Linked DNA regions of Anolis sagrei. The protein of the gene in region 1 interacts with the protein of each later gene in a biochemical or structural test. Links are inferred from orthologs where the notes say so. Each region holds a gene or a part of one and is shown on either strand. Other genes may lie near its edges.

Region 1 (9,905 bases):
TAGGCTGCAAAGAGGCCAGTGTTCTAGGATATTTTAGTGAATTGGAAAACAATATTTGGCATCTACATCTTGCTGAGATCTTCGCAATCGTTATTAAAATTACCAGAGTCCTGTTAAGACCAAGTTATTTGTGAAACAGAATGGTAAAGTTGTGTTTTAGAGTACATCTATACTGTAGATTGAATGCAGTGTGACACTACTATCACTGCTCAATGATATAGAATAATTTAACTTTTACAAGGTCTTTAATGCTGGTGCGTGCTCACACGACACCAAATTACAACTTCCAGGAGTCCATAGCATTGAACAATCCTTACCATCAGGAAGTTCTTCCTAATGTTTAGGTAGATTCTCTTTTCCTGCAATTTAAATCCATTGCTCCATGTCCTGGTCTTCAGAGCAACAGAAAACAAACTTGCCCCCTGTTCAATGTGACATCCTTTTAGATACTGAAACATGGCTATCATATTGTTATTGAGAAATTGACCACCCCTCATGATTAAACATAAACAGTGATTAATTAAGAATAAGGGTCTTATGTATTGTTGAAGGCTTTCATGGCCGGAATCACTGGGTGGTTGTAGGTTTTTCCGGGTTATATGGCCATGTTCTAGAGGCATTTTCTCCTGATGTTTCGCCTGCATCTATGGCAAGCATCCTCAGAGGTAGTGAGGTCTGTTGGAAGTAGGAAAGTGGGTTTATATATCTGTGGAATGACCAGGGTGGGGCAAAGAACTCATGTCTGTTGGAGCAGGTGTGAATGTTTCAACTAACCACCTTGATTAGCATTTGATGGCCTGGCAGTGCCTGGGACAATCTTTTGTTGAGAGGTGATTAGATGTGCCTGATTGTTTCCCCTCTGTTGTTTTGCTGTTGTAATTTTAGAGCTTTTTAATATTGGTAACCAGATTTTGTTCATTTTCATGGTTTCCTCCTATCTGTTGAAATTGTCCACATGCTTGTGTATTTCAATGGCTTCTCGTGTAGTCTGACATGGTGGTTGTGAGAGTGGTCCAGCATTTCTGTGTTCTCTAATAATATGCTGTGTCCAGGTTGGTTCATCAGGTGCTCTGCTATGGCTGATTTCTCTGGCTGAAGTAGTCTGCAGTGCCTTTCATGTTCCTTGATTCGTGTTTGGGCGCTGCGTTTGGTGGTCCCTATGTAGACTTGTCCACAGTTGCATGGTATACGGTAGACTCCTGAAGAAGTGAGAGGATCCCTCTTGTCCTCTTGTCTATGTAGACTTGTCCACAGATATATAAACCCACTTTCCTAGTTCCAATAGACCTCACTACCTCTGAGGATGCTTGCCATAGATGCAGGCGAAACGTCAGGAGAGAATGCCTCTAGAACAGAGGTCCTCAAATTAAGGCCCGGGGGCCGGATACGGCCCTCCAAGGTCATTTACCCGGCCCTCGCTCAGGGTCAACCTAAGTCTGAAACAACTTGAAAGCACACAACAGCAACAATCCTATCTCATCAGCCAAAAGCAGGCCCACACTTCCCATTAAAATACTAATAAGTTTATATTTGTTAAAATTGTACTTCATTGTAATTATTGTATTGTTTTTAAGTGGTTTTTGCACTACAAATAAAATATGTGCAGTGGGCATAGCAATTCATTCATGCTTTTTACAACTTATAATCCGGCCCTCCAACAGTTTGAGAGACTGTGACCTGGCCCTCTGTTTAAAAAGTTTGTGGATCCCTGCTCTAGAACATGGCCATATAGCCCGAAAAAACCTACAACAACCCAGTGATTCTGGCCATGAAAGCCTTCGACAAGACTTTATATCTGTTTCAGATTTTCAACAATTACCTCCTCACATAATGATTATTAAATTCTGTGTCCACTTTTGATATTGATGCAGTTTAATACCACTGTAAGTGCATTGGTACTTACAAATCAGGAGAACTGTCATTTTACAACGTCTTTTGCCTTTCCCACCAAAGAGTGAAGGTGTCTTATTTATTATTTATTTATCGTGTCCGTTACTGAATTGATAAGTCACTTCTGATGTGGGAGAATCAGTCATCTACAAAGATGTTGCCCAGGAGACGCCCGGATGTGTTACGATCCTGCAGGGAGGCTTCGCTCATGTCCCCCACCATGGTAGGAGAAGTGGTATCAAACTACATTAATTCTACAGCGTGGAGCCAACCTTAGAAGGCATGCTGAACACTTGATATTATCTGTAAGAGGAAGTCAGAGAAAAGAACAATGCAGAAGTGATGACACTATTTGCCTCTATTTGTTAAATAAATAATCTGCTGCCTGAATTCAGATGGAACAATGCCCTGCATTTGCTCAGACTGGAAAGAATGCTGAAAATTACTTACCAACAACTTTCCTCCATCTAGTGGCAAGATTGAGCAGTGTCTGTTTCACTTGTGAACACAGCTGAACACAAGATTGAGGATGACCACATCTTCCCCAATTCCTAAGCCTCATTTTACTTCTGCTAATTATTATTATTATGTGCATACCATGTCACTGATAAGCACAAGAGGGGCAGTCAGAAATGATGCATCAGAATAGGGAGGCATGGACAAACTTGGGCCCTCCGGGTGTTTTGGACTTCAACTCCCACAATTCCTAACAGCCAGTTGGCCACGCGTTGCTGTAAAATGTAATGTTGGTTTGTGGGGTTAACATAACTCAAAAACCACTGTGCGAATTGACATCAAATTTGGACACAATGCACCTATCAGGCCAACAAGTGACCATCACTCATAAAAACACTGAAAAACACAGTGGATGAAACTTAAAAAGCCAAAACAAATAAATACATTACAACGCATGTGCAAAACCACATATATACATATACACATATATATATACACACACAAAACACATATGCAAAGATTGAACCACAGCAATGCGTGGCAGGGAACGGCTAGTACATAATAATAAACATTATATATAGAAATTATATACTGTATGTACTCGAGTATAAGCCTAGTTTTTCAGCCCTTTTTTTAGGCTGAAAAAGTCCCGCTCGGCTTATATTCAAGTCAAGGTTATTTATTATTTTACCTGTTAGAAATACATAATAAATGTACTGTTATTGTTGTTGTTATTACATTGATCATTCTACTTTACTATTGTTTTATTATATTTCTTATTTTACTCTATTATTACCGTAGTTATTATTACATTTCCATTATTTTACTCTATTATTATTGTTAGTATTATTACATTTGTTATTTTACTCTATTTTTATTGGAAGTATATGCAAGCACATCCCTTATGAGTTTTATTGTTGTATTTGTTATGTTGTTGTTTTACTGAGGGCCTTGGCCTTTGTAAGCTGCACTGAGTCCTTCGGGAGATGTTAGCGGGGTACAAATAAAGATAATAATAATAATAATAATAATTTACATTGAAGGTTAGAATAATGGTTTAATCAGAGTTCCATAGTGTTATTTTAAATTATAGTTTTATGTAAATATTCAAAACATTTTACCTACTGATGCCTCAATTAATGCAGTTGTATTGCATCTATTTTTATTTTGAAATTTACCAGTAGCTGCTGCATTTCCTACCCTCGGCTTATACTCGAGTCAATACATTTTCCCAGTTTTTTGGGGTAAAATATGGTGCCTTGGCTTATATTCGGGTCAGCCTTTTTTTTCATCGTCAGGAGCGACCTGAGAAACTGCAAGTCGCTTCTGGTGTGAGAGAATTGACTGTCTGCAAGGATGTTGCCCAGGGGATGCCCAGGTGATTTGATGTTTTATCATCCTTGTGGGAGGCTTCTCTCATATCCCCGCATGAGGAGCTGGAGCTGATAGAGGGAGCTCCTCCGCGCTGTCCTGGGATTTGAACCTGCGACCTGTCGGTCTTCAGTCCTGCTGGCACAGGTGTTTAACCCACTATGCCACCGGGGGCTCCTAGAGTGGAGATGAGATCTGGGAATATTTGGTATTTAGAAGCATATATAGCTAGAAGGACACTTTCCATGTATAAAAGATGCATTCTCAATGCAGGAAATCTTAATAAAACTATCTTCCAAAGAATCTCATCAGCCTTCTTGATGGATGGTGGGGATTGTTTTTAAAACAGATCTCTGTGAAACAAAGAGCAGTACGTGTGAAAAAGATCTTGGAGTCCTCGTGGACAACAAGTTAAACATGAGCCAACAATGTGATGTGGCGGCAAAAAAAGCCAATGGGATTTTGGCCTGCATCAATAGGAGCATAGTGTCTAGATCTAAGGAAGTAATGCTACCCCTCTATTCTGCTTTGGTTAGACCACATCTGGAATATTGTGTCCAATTCTGGGCACCACAATTCAAGAGAGATATTGACAAGCTGGAATGTGTCCAGAGGAGAGTGACTAAAATGATAAAAGGTCTGGAGAACAAGCCCTATGAGGAGCGGCTAAAGGAGCTGGGCATGTTTAGCCTGAAGAAGAGAAGGCTGAGAGGGGATATGATAGCCATGTATAAATATGTGAGAGGAAGCCACAGGGAGGAGGGAGCAAGCTTGTTTTCTGCTTCCCTGGAGACTAGAATGCGGAACAATGGCTTCAAACTACAAGAGAGGAGATTCCATCTGAACATGAGGAAGAACTTCCTGACTGTGAGAGCCGTTCAGCAGTGGAACTCTCTGCCCCGGAGTGTGGTGGAGGCTCCTTCTTTGGAAGCTTTTAAACAGGGGCTGGATGGCCATCTGTCAGGGGTGATTTGAATGCAATATTCCTGCTTCTTTCAGGGGGTTGGACTGGATGGCCCATGAGGTCTCTTCCAACTCTTTGATTCTATGATTCTAAGAGGATAATCTGGAAGGCAAGAAGAAAGATCTCGTCCTCCCCCTCTTCACTCTCCATATGGCCCATAGAACGCTTCATCTCTGCTCCCCCCCCCCTCCCCGAGCGCTCTGAAGAATGGTTCGTTCCAGCCTTCCTCGCCTTGCCAGCTCCTCCTACGTCAGCGGCCTTCCCGGCGGCGGAAGTGACGCCGCGCTGGAGGCCACGGCTTCCGGTGCGCAGGCCACAGCGGCCCGGCTACAGATGGAGGCGCCCGTCTCCTCGGCAGGAAGGTGATTCGGTCTTCCTCCCTTTTCTTTCTTCTCCTTCTTCCCTCCTTTCGGTCTTCCCTTTCGCTCGCTGCTGAAGAGGCCGCGTTCATCCCAACCGCTCTGAGGGTGAGAGTCTCTGAGGGGAAGAAGCCGGGCCTTGTTTACATAGAGGGCGGGCGGAGGGAGAGGCAAGGCCCCCTCGTAGTTGCCTTGTTGTGGGCCTCAAGGGCAGGCATGGGCCAACTTGGGCCCTCCAGCTGTTTTGGACTTCAACTCCCACCATTCCTAACAGCCTCAGGCCCTTTCCTTTCCCCCCTCAGCCGCTTAAGCCCATGCCTGCTCAAAGGTCTGGTGCTTCGCTTCTCCCATCCTTTCATTCGAATTAAGGCAGCTTGGCACCCCTTTCCTTGTCTAGGCCCAATACTATGGGGTCCTGGGAGCTGTAGTTTGTATTCCCCATCCCGAGGATGGTGCCAAGAGTCCAAACTACAACAGTCACCGTTCCTTAGCAATCAAATAGGTGCCAAACTACCCTTATTGTACAGTACAGATGTAGAAGAACTTTATTTTTCTACCCTGCCTCCATCTCCCCGAAGGAACTCGGGGTGGCTTACATTGGGCCCAAGCCCAGGCAGAATATAATTAAAATAAAGCAATAACAATTAAAACAGCATAAAACAGCATTTATTTATTTATTATTGATTAACTTTATTTGTACCCCGCTACCATCTCCCCAAGGGACTCGGTGCGGCATACATGAGGCCGAGCCCAACACAACAACAGAAGCAATAAAACATCGATACAAGCAATTAAAAAACATAGATAATAAATACACAACATTATTAAAGAAGCCCCGGTGGCGCAGTGGGTTAAACCCTTGTACCAGCAGGACTGAAGACTGACAGGTCGCAGGTTCGAATCCGGGGAGAGGCAGATGAGCTTCCTCTATCAGCTCCAGCTCCTCATGCGGGGACATGAGAGAAGCTTCCCACAAAGATGATAAAAACATCAAATCATCCAGGCGTCCCCTGGGCAACGTCCTTGCAGACGGCCAATTCTCTCACAACAGGAGTCACTCCTGACACGACAAAAATTAAAGAAGCAACACATAATTAAAACAGTGGGAAGGCCAAATGTAGAGTTAAAATTGGAAATAATGCTGGGCCATAAGCAAAAGGTGATACTAGTGTTTGTGAAGGGCATACGAGCATAAAACAATATAACAAAAATAGCTAGCAACAATAATAACAGCAGACTAATTTTGGAGGGGGGAGGCAAACCACTACGTGAACTAGTTAAAGGATAAAGTGATTTAGTAACGTAGATTTATTTATTTATCGTGTCATCGGCAACCATACCATTGTATCACATTTCTAACAGAACAAAATAAACAATCAGATTTTTAAAAAACCCACAGATTTTGCAAACTTGGTAGTTGATTAAATGTCCTTTGACCAGTATCTGGCCACTTGGAGTGCCTCTGGTGTTGCCGCAAGAAGGTCCTCCATTGTGCATGTGTCAGGGCTCAGGATGCATTGCAGCAGGTGGTCAGTGGTTTGCTCTTTTCCACACTCGTATGTCGAGGATTCCATTTTGTAGCCCCATTTCTGAAGGTTGGCTCTGCATCTCGTGGTGCCAGAGCACAGTCTGTTCAGCGCCTTCCAAGTACTTGGAAGTAAGGTAGATGACAATGTATTAAGGCATAGGAAAAACCATGGAAACAGAGCAAATTAACAGGATCAGTTAATATAATATAGGACATCAGATTGAATGACAATTCAGGTCATAATACAGGCCATATGTCATAGGAGTCGTCAGTAGAAAGTACATTAATGTACCCATTAATCATAGTAATAAAAAAAGGCCTATCTTTTAATGTCAATTTTAAACCATGGATTTTAAGCTGGCATTTTTACAAGAATGGATGAGAGGGAATAATAATAATAATAATTATTATTATTTATACCCTGCCACCATCTTCCTAAAGGGGACTCGCGGCAGTTTACATGAGGCCAAGCCCAGCGATACATTACAGCAACATTAAATATAAACAACAAAATAACATCACAATAAAATAAATAAACCAATCAAGTAAAATAAACAGTACAAAATAACATAATGGAAAATCAGACACAGTGGGCGGGCCAAATGCATGACATAAAATGATAAAACACTGGATGAGATAGCAATGAAAAGGTACAATTGTGGGGGAGGAGCTCAAAGGGGACTGAACAGTGGATTTAGACTTTCAATAAGGTGGGGGAAAGTGCAGTATGGGGGAAGCAGTGTAGGTGAAACAACAGGACTGGAATATATGGTCACTCTCCAAAGGCACATCAGAAAAGCCAAGTCTTTAGATCTTTCTAAAGGGAAAGGACTGGGAGACATGAGGGAAGCCACCTGGGCCTTGTTTTACGTAGTAATAAAAACAATGACCTACTTTTAATGTCAATTTTAAACTATGGATTTTATGCTGGCATTATTATTTTTTTTGAAGAAAAGGTGAGAAGGAGAGGACTGGGAGGTGAGGGAAGCAACTTGGTTGCCATTTAAATTAAAATGGAAGATGAGTATATAATGTCCTGTACAGACATGGTCAAACTTCAGCCCTCCTTTGGACTTCCTACAATTCCTAACAGCCCTAGATTGTTTGTTGTTGATGTTATAATTATTAATTCTTTAAAATACAGGTATGATGGAGAACCCATCTAAAAATGCATGCATGCCTGTTTGGAGTTTATGGGGTCCTGACCATGGCTAGTCACCCTGTAAGCTCCAAACAAGCATAATAGGCTTGCCTACATGGTAGAACAGGCCTGGGCAAACATTAGCCCTCCAGGTGTTTTGGACTTCAACTCCCACAGTTCCTAATAGCCTGTCCAAAACACGCAGAGGGCAGAAGTTTGCCTAGGCCTGTTGTAGCATGGGTACATCTTCCATTACTTCTGCAGTGTATAGAATGCTGTGTAATCCTGGGACATGTCTACAAAGGCTTCCGCTGATAATTGTGTTCTCTCAGAAAGCAACTGCAGTGTAGAATGAATGCAGTCTGGCCCCACTTTAACTTTTATTCTCAATGCTGTGGGATCATTGGAGTTGTAGTTTGGTGAGGCGCCCACGCTTTTTTGTCAGAAGGCTCAAGATCTTATGAAACTATAGCTCCTACGATTTCAAAGCATTGAGCCACAGCAGTTAAAGTGGAACCAAATTGCATTCTTTCACCATCACAGACTCCCAAACTTTGGTCCCTCTTATTTTTTTTCATCGGCTCCCCAAAATCCCAACTAATGGGCAATGGAGCTCAGGCTTCTGGAAGCTGAGGTCCTAAACACCCAGAGGACCAATGTTTGGGAATCGCTTATCAATGAGGCTCCTTCCAGACAGGCCCTTTTGATCCCTGGTTTTCTGTTTATCCCAGATCATTTGGCAGTATGGACTAATATAATACAGTCTAAAGGAGAAAACCTGGGATCAGATCCTGGAACAAAGGGCCTGTCTGGAAGAGCCCTGAGGAATTCATGCAGTTTGACACCACTTAAACTGCCACAGCACAATGCTATGGAATTCCGAGAGTTGTAGTTTTTATGTTTTTAGTCTTAGTTGCCAAAGAATTTGAGTGCCTCACCACAAAACAACTACCATAATTCTATAGCATTGAGTAATGGCAGCTAAAATGGCATCAAACAGCATTAATTCTGCAGTTTAGATGCAACCTAAATCTACTTCCTCAGGTGAATTCGCAGAAGACGACTTCGTCTACAAAAGCTCATGCTACCAGATTTGTTTTATTTATTGTGCTACAAGATCCCTGTTTTTGAACTAGGCAAAAGAAAACCAGGTAAAGTAAATGGAAAAAAAATATTTGGGATGAAAGGTGTTGAAAGAGATCTATTGTCACAGGCTGGTACCATGATGTATCTGTGAATCATCCGTAAACTTATGAGCCTTACAGGGGTTTCTTGGGCAAGAAATTCTCAGAGGAAGTTTGGCCAGTTTTCCCCTCAGAAATAGAGACTACAGCACCTACAGTTCATTGACATTATCCCAAACAAGGCTGACCATGCTTAGTTTCCAATATCAGATGGGAAGTTGTCTTGACATTACTCCCAAGTTATGGCAAAGCCTCTATTTCAGGATTTTCTGCAACTGAGGCAACTTCCATACAGTTGAATAAAATCCTACATTATCTGCTTTGAATTGGAATATATGGTAGTGTGGACTCTGATGACCCAGTTCAACACAGATATTGTGGGATTTTCTGCCTTGATTTTCTGTGTTTTATGGCTGTGTGGAAGGGCACTGAAAATATGTGAATTCCCAGTGGGTTTTCACAGCTAAGAGCCATGTTAAATTTTTTGAAAGGATGACCAAGATGGAGTTTGCTTATTTTCTGGATTTAAACTACAGAGACATTCTAGCTTAAAATAAGTAATAAGTTCCTGATAGTAGAAGCTGTTTGACAGTGGGATAGTCTGCTGCCTCGAGGCTGATGGAATCTCTCCTTTTTTGCTGGGGGGGGGGGGGGTGTAAACAGAGGTTGATGACCATCTGTTGGAAGTGCTTTGATTGGGTGTTCCTGCATGGCAGAATGAGTTGGACTAGTTGGCGCTTGCCGTCTCTTTTGACTGTCGTGATCCTGTTTTAAGGGAAACCATTGTGACATCTCTGAGCTTTCTTATTAAAGTTCTTGCTATTGCTCTCTTAATATTTTGTGAGGTATTCTACAGACAAATATGCTTTGGGGCTAAAATAAAGTAGCCCTCTCCTCCTGAGATAGTGCATGAAATGTTCCAGTTCAAGTCTCCACAGAGTCATGAAACTGACTAGGTGACCTTGAACCATTCAGTGTCTCTCATCATGACCTCCCTCATAGGGTTGCTGCA
Region 2 (9,905 bases), on another chromosome or scaffold:
CTAGGCATCCCCTGGGCAACGTCCTTGCAGACAGCCAATTCTCTCACACCAGAAGCAACTTGCAGTTTGGAGTTTGAATCCGGGGAGTGGGGTGAGCTCCTGTATGACCGCTCCACATCCTCATGTGGGGACATGAAAGAATCCTTCCACAAGGATGGTAAAACATCAAAACATCCGGGCGTCCCCTGGGCAACATCCTTGCAGACGGCCAATTCTCTCACACCAGAAGCGACTTGCAGTTTCTCAAATCGCTCCTGACACAGAAAGAAACAAAACTGGGGGCATAATCCTTGTTGACAGCTGTACTGAAAAGGAAGAATAATTTTTGTGTGTGAAATAAAATCTCTATCCCGATTACAATACAGGAATAGTGACCTTGGACTCCAACGTCCCACTGAAACCAGCAGTACCACTTACCCCCAAGTAAACATTCCCAGGCTTGGCCTACAAATGTCAAGCAGAGGTTAGTTCTTAGAGAAGTAGCCATTCCCCCAGAGCGTGGATATTTTCTGTGAAGTTTATACAGAGAGGCAGTTAATCACTCACATGACGCGTATGTCCAGCTAGCCCCAATCCCTTAAAGCTCTTATTTGCATTTCAGCCCAGATCTTTTTTAAAAAAATTACTGCAATCTCAATAGAGCCAGAAGAAGCAGCTCAAGATGCGACAAACTTGGGCTCCAAAAACACATACCTGATGATGCAAGATTGGTTGTTATGAATTAAATTTAATCTGGCACTTAGAATCATAGAGTTGGAAGAGACCACATGGGCCATCTAGTCCAACCCCCGCCATGCAGGAAGTAAAGCTAAAGGTTTCCCCTTGACATTAAGTCTAGTTGTGTCCGACTCTGGTGGGCGGTGCTCATCTCCATTTCTAAGCCAAAGAGCCGGCGTTGTCCATAGACACCTCCAAGGTCATGTGGCCAGCATGGCTGCATGAAGTGCCATTACCTTCCCGCCAAAGCAGTATCTATTGATCTACACACATTTGCATGTTTTCGAACTGCTAGGTTGGCAGAAGCTGGGGCTAGCAGTGGGAGCTCACCCCGCTCCCTGGATTCAAACCGCCAACCTTTTGGTCAGCAAGTTCAGCAACTCAGTGGTTTAACCCGCTATGCCACCAGGTATCTTTAAGCATGAATAGATTTTGGAATATATGAGGAGTCCTGGAACTAAACCTCAGCGGATACCAAGGTCCTTCCCGCCGAAGCAATACCCATTGATCTACTCACATTTGCATGTTTTCAAACTGCTAAGTTGGCAGACACTGGGGCTATCAGTGGGAGCTCGCCCCCGCTCCTCGGATTCAAACTGTCGACCTTTTGGTCAGCAAGTTCAGCTCAGCGATTTAACCCGCTTAGCCATTAGGACTGTGCAGGAAAAGCACAGTCAAAGTTTGGTGAGGTTGGAACGTTTACCGCACTACATTGCACATTAGCACATTGTTTACCTGCATCACACACAGATTGTTGCCCTCTCTAACATGGTTTACAGGCTTCAACATACCTTCCATAATTCTGTCAATCCTTCCAAGTAATTCCTCTTTGCCAGATGGTCTTTGACTAGCAGGGAAATGATACTAAAGCACAGCCTCCTGTTTCCGCAGGATCAGTATCGATGGTTTCAATTATCCTGATCCATCAAAATACATCCTCTCTAGGCATTTTCTAAGTCCTCCTCCAGCAGGACTGTGTGGTATTCTTGGGCCAGAAGTCCTTCAATTCAACAGAATTGGATATGATCCGTATTTTTTGCATATCCATGCAGTCTGGAAATGTATTTTCTGTGGATACAGCAATTATATAATTTTCATCATCTTTCACCAACATCTTTCTAGAGCCTACTAGGTGTTACAGCCTGGATTCGAATCCTGCCCAAGAATATAGAAACCAAGGAGGGAGAGAGAGAGGGAGGGTGGCCAATGGGACATGTTCTTTCTGGCATGGCATTCATGTGATGCTATCTATGGTCATTTCACTCAGGTGTTTCAGTTCGCTTGGACTTGATTTTGGATGGCGTGATTTTAATAACTCTTTTAAAATAGTGTTTATCAGTGGGTTTTAATACAAAAGTTATTATATTATCGATGTGTAATTTTTTATGCTTTATGTCTAAATGCTCTTTTATGTTTATATTTTAATTTGGTTAGGTTTAATTCATAGTTATGTTATTGTCTTGCTATTAGTATTTTGGTTTTCACATGTATGTACAGCATGTTGCCTTTATAAGGCTGGAAACCGCTTTGAATTCCCTTAGGACAGCGTTTCTCAATCTGGGGGTCAGGACCTGGGACGGGGGTCACAAGGGGGTTTCAGAAAGGTTGCCAAAGATCATCAGAAAACATATATTTCTGATGGTCTTAAGAACCCTTTTGACAGAGAAGGCTGAAGATCTCATCGTCTGTCCTTCTCTTCCTTTTTAGAAACAGACTGCGAATCCTCCCACAAAAAGCCCCCCTCAGCTGTGATTGACTGGCCTCTCAGCCAAGGGAAGAGCTGTTTCTGAGACTTCAAGAGGGGAGGGGAGAGCAGGCGTGCTTGGCGAATGGTGTGCATGTGTGGGCGAGGGAGAGCGTGTGAGGCTGAAGGGAGGTTTGCACCAGCAAGTACCTTCAAGGTATGGGGGTGCTGTGTGGGAAGTTTGGCCCAATTCTATCATTGGTGGAGTTCAGAATGCTCTTTGATTGTAGGCTATAATTCCCAGTAACTACAACTCCCAAATGTCAAGATCTATTTTCCCTAAACTCCACCAGTGTTTACAGTTGGGCATATTATTTGTACCAAGTTTGGTCCAGATTCATCATTGTTGGAGTCCACAGTACTCTCTGGATATAGGTGAACTACAACTCCAAAACCCAAGGTCAATGCCCAGCAAACCCTTCCAGTATTTTCTCTTGGTCATGGGAGGTTAGCGTGCCAAGTTTGGTTCAATTCTCTCAGTTGGTGGAGTTCAGAATGCTCTTTGATTGTAGGTGAACTATAAATCCCAGCAACTACAACTCCCAAATGTCAAGATTGATTTTCCCTAAGCTCCACCAGTGTTTACAGTTGGGCATATTGAGTATTCGTGCCAAGTTTGGTCCAGATCCATCATTGTTTGAGTCCACAGTGCTCTCTGGATATATGTGAACTACAACTCCAAAGCTCAAGGTCAACGATATCAAACTCTTCCGGTATTTTCTTGTTAGTTGTGGGAGTTTTGTGTGCCAAGTTTGGTTCAATTATGTCAGTTGGTGGAGTTCAGAATGCTCTTTGGTTGTAGGTGAACTATAAATCCCAGCAACTACAAATGAGAAAATAAATTCCCCTCAATGCCACCAGTATTCAAATTTGGATGTATTGGATATTTGTGCCAAATTTGGCCCAGTGAATGAAAATACATCCTGCATATCAGATATTTACATTACGATTCATAACAGGAGCAATATTACAGTTCTGGAAGTAGCAAGGAAAATAATGTTATGGTTGGGGGTCACCACAACATGAGGAACTGTATTAAAGGGCCACAGCATTAGGAAGGTTGAGAAACACTATGCTAAAGATTATGCAAAATTCCAAAATTGGAAATACTCCTAAATCTGAAATAGTCCACATGAGTGACTGAGATATTGGTGCTTTTCCTTTCTGATGGTTCAGTGTACACACACTTTGTTTCATGGGAAAAATAGTTAAAGTATTATATAAAATCAACTTAATTTTATGGTTGAGGGGTTATCACAACACGAGGGGGTATTAAGGGGGTTGTAGTATTAGGAAGAGTAAGAAACACTGCTTTAGGGGTTTTTAGACCTCAGTGGAGGTGGATGCATGTTGCTGTTTGGACTTTAGTAGAGAAGTATGACTTTCAGACTTCAGTGAGTATAGCTATATTTAAAGACTGTGGACAATTGACTAAGTATCATACTTAAGAGACCATATCTTATCTAACTGAACTCTAATAAGAAATGTGCCTGTGTGGTGAATATATACAAGAAGTTTGTTAGTAAACCCAAAATGTTATTTTCAAAGACTACTTTGTTTTGTCTCCCGAGTGCATGTTTTAAACAAGAGTTTTTGTAAGGGAGAGTAGATGGGCAACTTCAACTTCAAAGAAACAGCCATCCTCTGCTAACCAAATATATTTTTGTAATTGCATGTCTTTATCCTTGGCTATTTAAAGACATGGTTCTTCAGTTTAACAGCTGAGTTATTTGTGTGCCATTACACTGCTTTTTCTGCCAACCTAGCAGTTCAAAAACATGCAAATGTGAGTAGATCAATAGGTACCGCTCCGGCGGGAAGGTAACGGCACTCCATGCAGTCATGCCGGCCACATGACCTTGGTGGTGTCTACAGACAACGCCGGCTCTTCGGCTTAGAAATGGAGATGAGCACCACACCCCAGAGTCAGACATGACTGGACTTAATGTCAGGGGACTACCTTTACCTTTTACACTGCTTTAGGGAGAGAAAAGTGAGATATAAATGCAGTCAATAAAGAAGTACATGCTCCCAGAGCACCTGCCAGCTTGGGACCCACCCTTGTTTACTTTCTCCCAGAGATGCAGTATCTCCCTTTGTAAGGCTTTGCTATTTCATCATCTCACTTTGTCTCCTTGGAGGAGGAGGAGGGTCCATGTCCTTCCCTTTCTTCCCTTCAGAATTGGAACCCAAAAAGACTGGGACTCTTCCTTTCTCCTCTCCCTCTCCACCTGACTGGGAGGCCTGGCTGCAAACTGGGAGCGACTGGGCCAGCAGAGCCCTCTCTCTCCCTCCCTCCATCCTCCTCCTCCTCCTGGAGAGCAAGCCTCCAATGGAATGAATGGAATATAAATAGTGTCCAATGGGTGCTTGGCTTGGGCTGGATATATAAGCGGAGGGAGGGCGGGGGTACGGCTCCATTCGAGGCAGGTCTGTCTGGAAGAGCAGCCGGGTTCCTCCTTCCTTCCACTCACTCACTCACTCACCCACTCGAGGAGGCACAAGTGCGCCGCTTTTGTCTTGCTCTGACCCTCTCGGTAAGTGCTGGGAGGCAAGTCAACCAGGAGTCTTGGGGAGGAAGCCTATCATTTCCAAGGGAGAGCCAATGACCTTGCGATGCTTGCTCTTCTTCATGCCAATGTGCTTTGGGGTTTTGGAGAAGGGAAGGGAAAGGATGCCGAGAGTAACCAAGGCGTGGTGAGTTGGGAGACAGAAGATGCTGCTGCTCTTGACTCTCTTCCTGGCTCTGAAAAGCAAGAGCAAGACCACTCTCGTTCCCATTCTTTTGCCTCCTGCCTGCAGGGCTCAAGCTGCCTCCTTCTCCCATCCCTTGGCCCCGAATTGGCATTTAAGCAGGGGATGGGTTGGCATGATCCTCCTCTGCGCCAAGCAGAGAGGAGTTTCGTTACATAACGGGAGCGCCCTTTCGTTTTCCCCCTTCGTTCCCTCCACTTGGAGGGCGAGCGCGAGGAAGAGATGGAGTGGCCATCTTCCCCAAGGATGGGTGCAAAGGGAGCCGAAGCTTCTCAGTGGCTTGCTTTCCAGAGCCAGCCTTGCCCCAAGGACTTCCCTATCTCAGTCCTCCCCTAGAGAAGGTGTACCTTGCAGGGAAATTCTCCCCCTCTCCTCCTATCTGTGCTTTCCACAGCATGGTTTTTTTTTTCCTTCTCCTGTCAGGAGCGAAACTGCAAGTCGCTTCTGGTGTGAGAGAATTTGGCTGTCTGCAAGGACGTTGCCCAGAGGATGTAGCTGACAGGTGGGAGCTCAGCTCACTCCCTCATTCAAATCGTGGTGTGAGAGAATTGGCCGTCTGTAAGGATGTTGCCCAGGGGACGCCCGGATGTTTTGATGTTTTTATCCTCCTTTTGGGAGGCTTCTCTCATGTCCCGGCATGGGAAGCTGTAGCTGACAGGTGGGAGCTCAGCTCACTTCCTGGATTCGAACCCCAAATTGCAAGTAGCTTCTGGTGTGAGAGAATTGGCCGTTTGCAAGGACGTTGCCCAGGGGATACCCGGATGTTTTGATGTTTTTGTCCTCCTTTTGGGAGGCTTCTCTCATGTCCCGGCATGGGAAGCTGGAGCTGACAGAGGGAAGCTCACCTCACTCCCCCATTCAAATCGTGGTGTGAGAGAATTGGCCGTCTGTAAGGACGTTGCCCAAGGGACGCCCGGATGTTTGATGTTTTTATCTTCCTTTTGGGAGCTGTAGCTGACAGATGGGAGCTCAACTCACTTCCTAGATTCAAACCCCAATATTGCAAGTAGCTTCTGGTTTGAGAGAACTGGTCGTTTGCAAGGACGTTGCCATCCTTGTGGGAGGCTTCTCTCATGTCCCTGCATGGGAAGCTGGAGCTGACAGAAGGAAGCTCACCCCACTCCCCCATTCAAATCCTCGTGTGAGAGAATTGGCTGTCTGCAAGGACGTTGCCCAGGTGACGCCCGGATGTTTTACCATCCCTGTGGGAGGCTTCTCCCATGTCCTGGCATGGGAAGCTGGAGCTGACAGAGGGAGCTCAACCCGCTCTCCTTGGATTCGAACCCCCAACCTTTAGTCAGCAGTCCTGTGGGCAGAAGAGTTTAACCCATTGCATCCTGGGGGGCTCCTGGAGGAAGAGCTTGGATGAGTCAAAAGGAGTGCGATAGAGGAGGCATGGGCAAACCTGGGCGGCTGAGGGGGAAAAGGAAGGGGCCTGAGGCTGTTTGGAATGGTGGGAGTTGAAGTCCGAAACACCTGGAGGGCCCAAGTTTGCCCATGCCTGCGATAGAGAGAGGTATCTCCCTCCCTTTGCCTTCCCCTTGGGCTGTTTATCAGGATGCCCGCCCCATATGTGCCTTTGAGCCCCCAGAATGTCCCTCAGATGCCTTGGCTCTCAGTCTTGAAGGAAAAGGGAAGGAAGGAATGGAATGGAGAAGCCAGCCGTGCGCTCTTGGCAAGCAAAGCGCAATGGGAGAGTCTCCACCCCACACCCTTCCTTCCCTTGGGCTGTTTGCAGGGATGTCAGATCCACCTGCTTTAAAGGGACCAAGGAGAGATTAGAGGGAGGAAGATTGGAGAGAGAGAGGGAACCCTCCTTGGCGCATTCCTCACTGCCAATTTTGCCCAGGACGCATCCATCCCCAACCGGCTTCTCCGCTCTTGCAAAAGCGAGGAGAGTAAGTGAGGCTGGGCTTTGGAGGCAGGAGAAACCAGGGCGGGTCCCCTCTCTCTCTTCCTCTCCTTTTCTGTGGCACCATCTGGCCAGGAGGAAGAGGATGCAAAAGAGAGTGTCCAAGTTTGGGCTTCAACTCTCCAGAAACAAGGGATTCCAGAGCCACCCATCCTTTTCCAAAAACATGTCTGCTCCCTTGCCTTGAAGGTGACCCTTTGGGACCAAGGAAAGGAGGAAGTGGGGCAAGGCTCAGAGAGACAGAGCTCTGCCGCTTTCTATTCCTGGCCTCCTCTTCTCTCTCTCAAGCCAGGCTCTTGACCTTGAGCAGATCCCTCCTGCCGGTCCCTGCTGTGTGGCCCTTCCTGGTGCCAAGAGGAAGAGGAGGCGGAAGGGGAATGTTGGCCCAGTGCCTGGCAATCCTCAGGTGCCGGGCGGGGAGAGTGCCTGCCTGGGCAGGTCGCAGTACCGGAGACAAGGTGACCTTGCTGCGAGGCCCAGCTCCCATCCGCAGCTCAAGCCCACAGCTAAGCTTTCCCCTCTCCTCTTCTTCTCCCTTCTTAGCTCCTTGCAGTCAGGGGCCCGCCATGCCATTCTCAAACAGCCACAACCTCTTGAAGAAGAACTACTCCGCCGAGGATGAGTACCCAGATCTGAGCGCCCACAACAACCATATGGCTAAAGTGCTGACCTTGGAGCTGTACACCAAGTTGCGGGATAGAGTGACTCCAAGCGGATTTTGTGTGGACGATGTGATTCAGACTGGGGTGGACAACCCAGGTAAAGGATGCCGGGGCAGCGGCCCTTCTGTGATCCGGATCTGTTCTCCCTTCATTAAGTGAGGAAGTGCTGCTTTGAAAATGGCATCTCAAAAGACCTCCTGATAAGACCTTCAAGAGGCCTAGCTGCATAATACCCTTGGGCATTGGCCTGAATTGCTGTGAGTTTTTTGGGCTGTATGTTTTGCCCACATCTATGGCAGGCATGCTCAGAGATTGAGGTATTATATATATATATAATATAAATATAAATGTAAGGTGAGTTCTTTCTCCCACCCTGGACCTACCATGTGTATATAAACCTATATATATATATATATATACATATATGGGGAGCCCCCAGTGGCGCAGTGAGCTGCTGAGCTTGTTGATCGAAAGGTCGCAGGTTCGATTCCAGGGAGCGGCGTGAGCTTCCGCTGTCAGCCCTAGCTTCTGCCAACCTAGCAGTTCGAAAACATGCAAATGTGAGTAGATCAATAGGTACAGCTCCGGCGGGAAGGTAACGGGGCTCCATGCAGTCATGCCGGCCACATGACCTTGGAGGTGTCTACGGACAATGCTGGCTCTTCGGCTTAGAAATGGAGATGAGCACCACACCCCAGAGTCAGACATGACTGGACTTAATGTCAGGGGACAACCTTTACCCAACCTTTACCTAAACATATATGGATATCTATCTATCTATATCTGTGGAAGGTCCAGGGTGGGAGAAAGAACTCACCTTATATTTATATTATTTCTCCCACCCTAGACCTTCCACAGATATATAAACACACATATAATATAATATTTTATATATTATATAAACATACTCATATATATGGTTTATATATCTGTAGAAGGTCCAGGATGCGAGAAAGAATTCACTATATATATAATATATATGTATGTATAATATCTCACAACCTCTGAGGGTGCCTGCCATAGATGTGGGTGAAATGTCAGGAGAGAATGCTTCTAGAACCATGGCTATACAGACTGGAAAAATCACAGTAACCCTGGCCATAAAAACCTTCAGCAACACATTTACCTGAATGTTTAAATGTCGAGGGATGCAAACCGAGGATGCAATGAGCTGCTTGACGAAACCAATTGTATTCCAAATTCCTGTGTAAACACTCTGCTAAATACTTTGATGCGCAGTGAGAGGTATGCAGCATCTTCTCTCTTTTCTCTCTCCCTATTGGCACAACTTCGAAAGCTTAATACTCATTAAATTGGAGGTAGTTTTGTGGAAAAAGAAATCCCTTGGTTACCCTCTGTGGCACTTCTTTGACTGATAAAGGGGGAGCAGATCTTGGTGATTTTATGCTGTCTTTGTCTTTAACCCTGCAGTATTTTTGTGTGTTTTTATCACCTTCTAGCGAGAGCAAAATGCCCTTTAATAACCAGAAACTGCCTCCGGATGAGGAATACCCGGACCTGAGCACCCACAACAACCACATGGCCAAAGTCCTAACCCCGGAATTGTACCAGAAACTGAGAGACAGAGTAACCCCCAGTGGCTTCTGCTTGGATGATATCATTCAGACTGGGGTTGATAATCCGGGTAAAAAAACGAAACCAAAAACTCCCCCAAAGCTTTGCTGAGTCTTCTCTGTCAACCCGGCTGATGTAACCATGGCTTGTTGCTTAGGCTGACCTGTGTGTGTGTCTGTGTGTGTGTTTGAGAAGAAGAAGGAACACAGTTGTAGCTCTGCAAATGCCAAATGACTGAAACAAGAAGTGTGGATCAAAGGAAATTGCTATTGCTTGAGTGTAGAGCAGGCATGAACATCTTTCAGCCCTCCAGGTGTTTTGGACTTCAACTCCCACCATTCCTAACAGCCTCAGACCCCTTCTTTTTCCCCCTCAGCCGCTTAAGCGGCTGAGGGGGAAAAAGAAGGGGTCTGAGGCTGTTAGGAATGGTGGGAGTTGAAGTCCAAAACACCTGGAGGGCCCAAGTTTGTCCATGCCTAGTGTAGAGCTTTATTTTTTCCCATTACTGCCGCTTGGGAATAATATCCTGGAGAGCCAGTGT

The links.
Region 2: of the proteins of ARIH2 (region 1) and CKB, one has a biochemical effect on the other in vitro, tested with the Homo sapiens proteins (2 studies listed by BioGRID). The link is inferred for Anolis sagrei from reciprocal best matches to the Homo sapiens genes ARIH2 and CKB.

The regions. Positions count from the first base shown.
Region 1 is NC_090022.1:28,589,437-28,599,341, reverse strand, and holds the start of ARIH2 (E3 ubiquitin-protein ligase ARIH2), read left to right. Parts: upstream 1-4,955; 5' UTR 4,956-5,148; intron 5,149-9,905.
Region 2 is NC_090021.1:327,580,632-327,590,536, forward strand, and holds the start of CKB (creatine kinase B-type), read left to right. Parts: upstream 1-4,858; 5' UTR 4,859-4,998; intron 4,999-7,670; 5' UTR 7,671-7,693; coding exon 7,694-7,886; intron 7,887-9,249; exon of another isoform or gene 9,250-9,259; coding exon of another isoform or gene 9,260-9,434; intron 9,435-9,905. UniProt on the Homo sapiens protein: Reversibly catalyzes the transfer of phosphate between ATP and various phosphogens (e.g. creatine phosphate).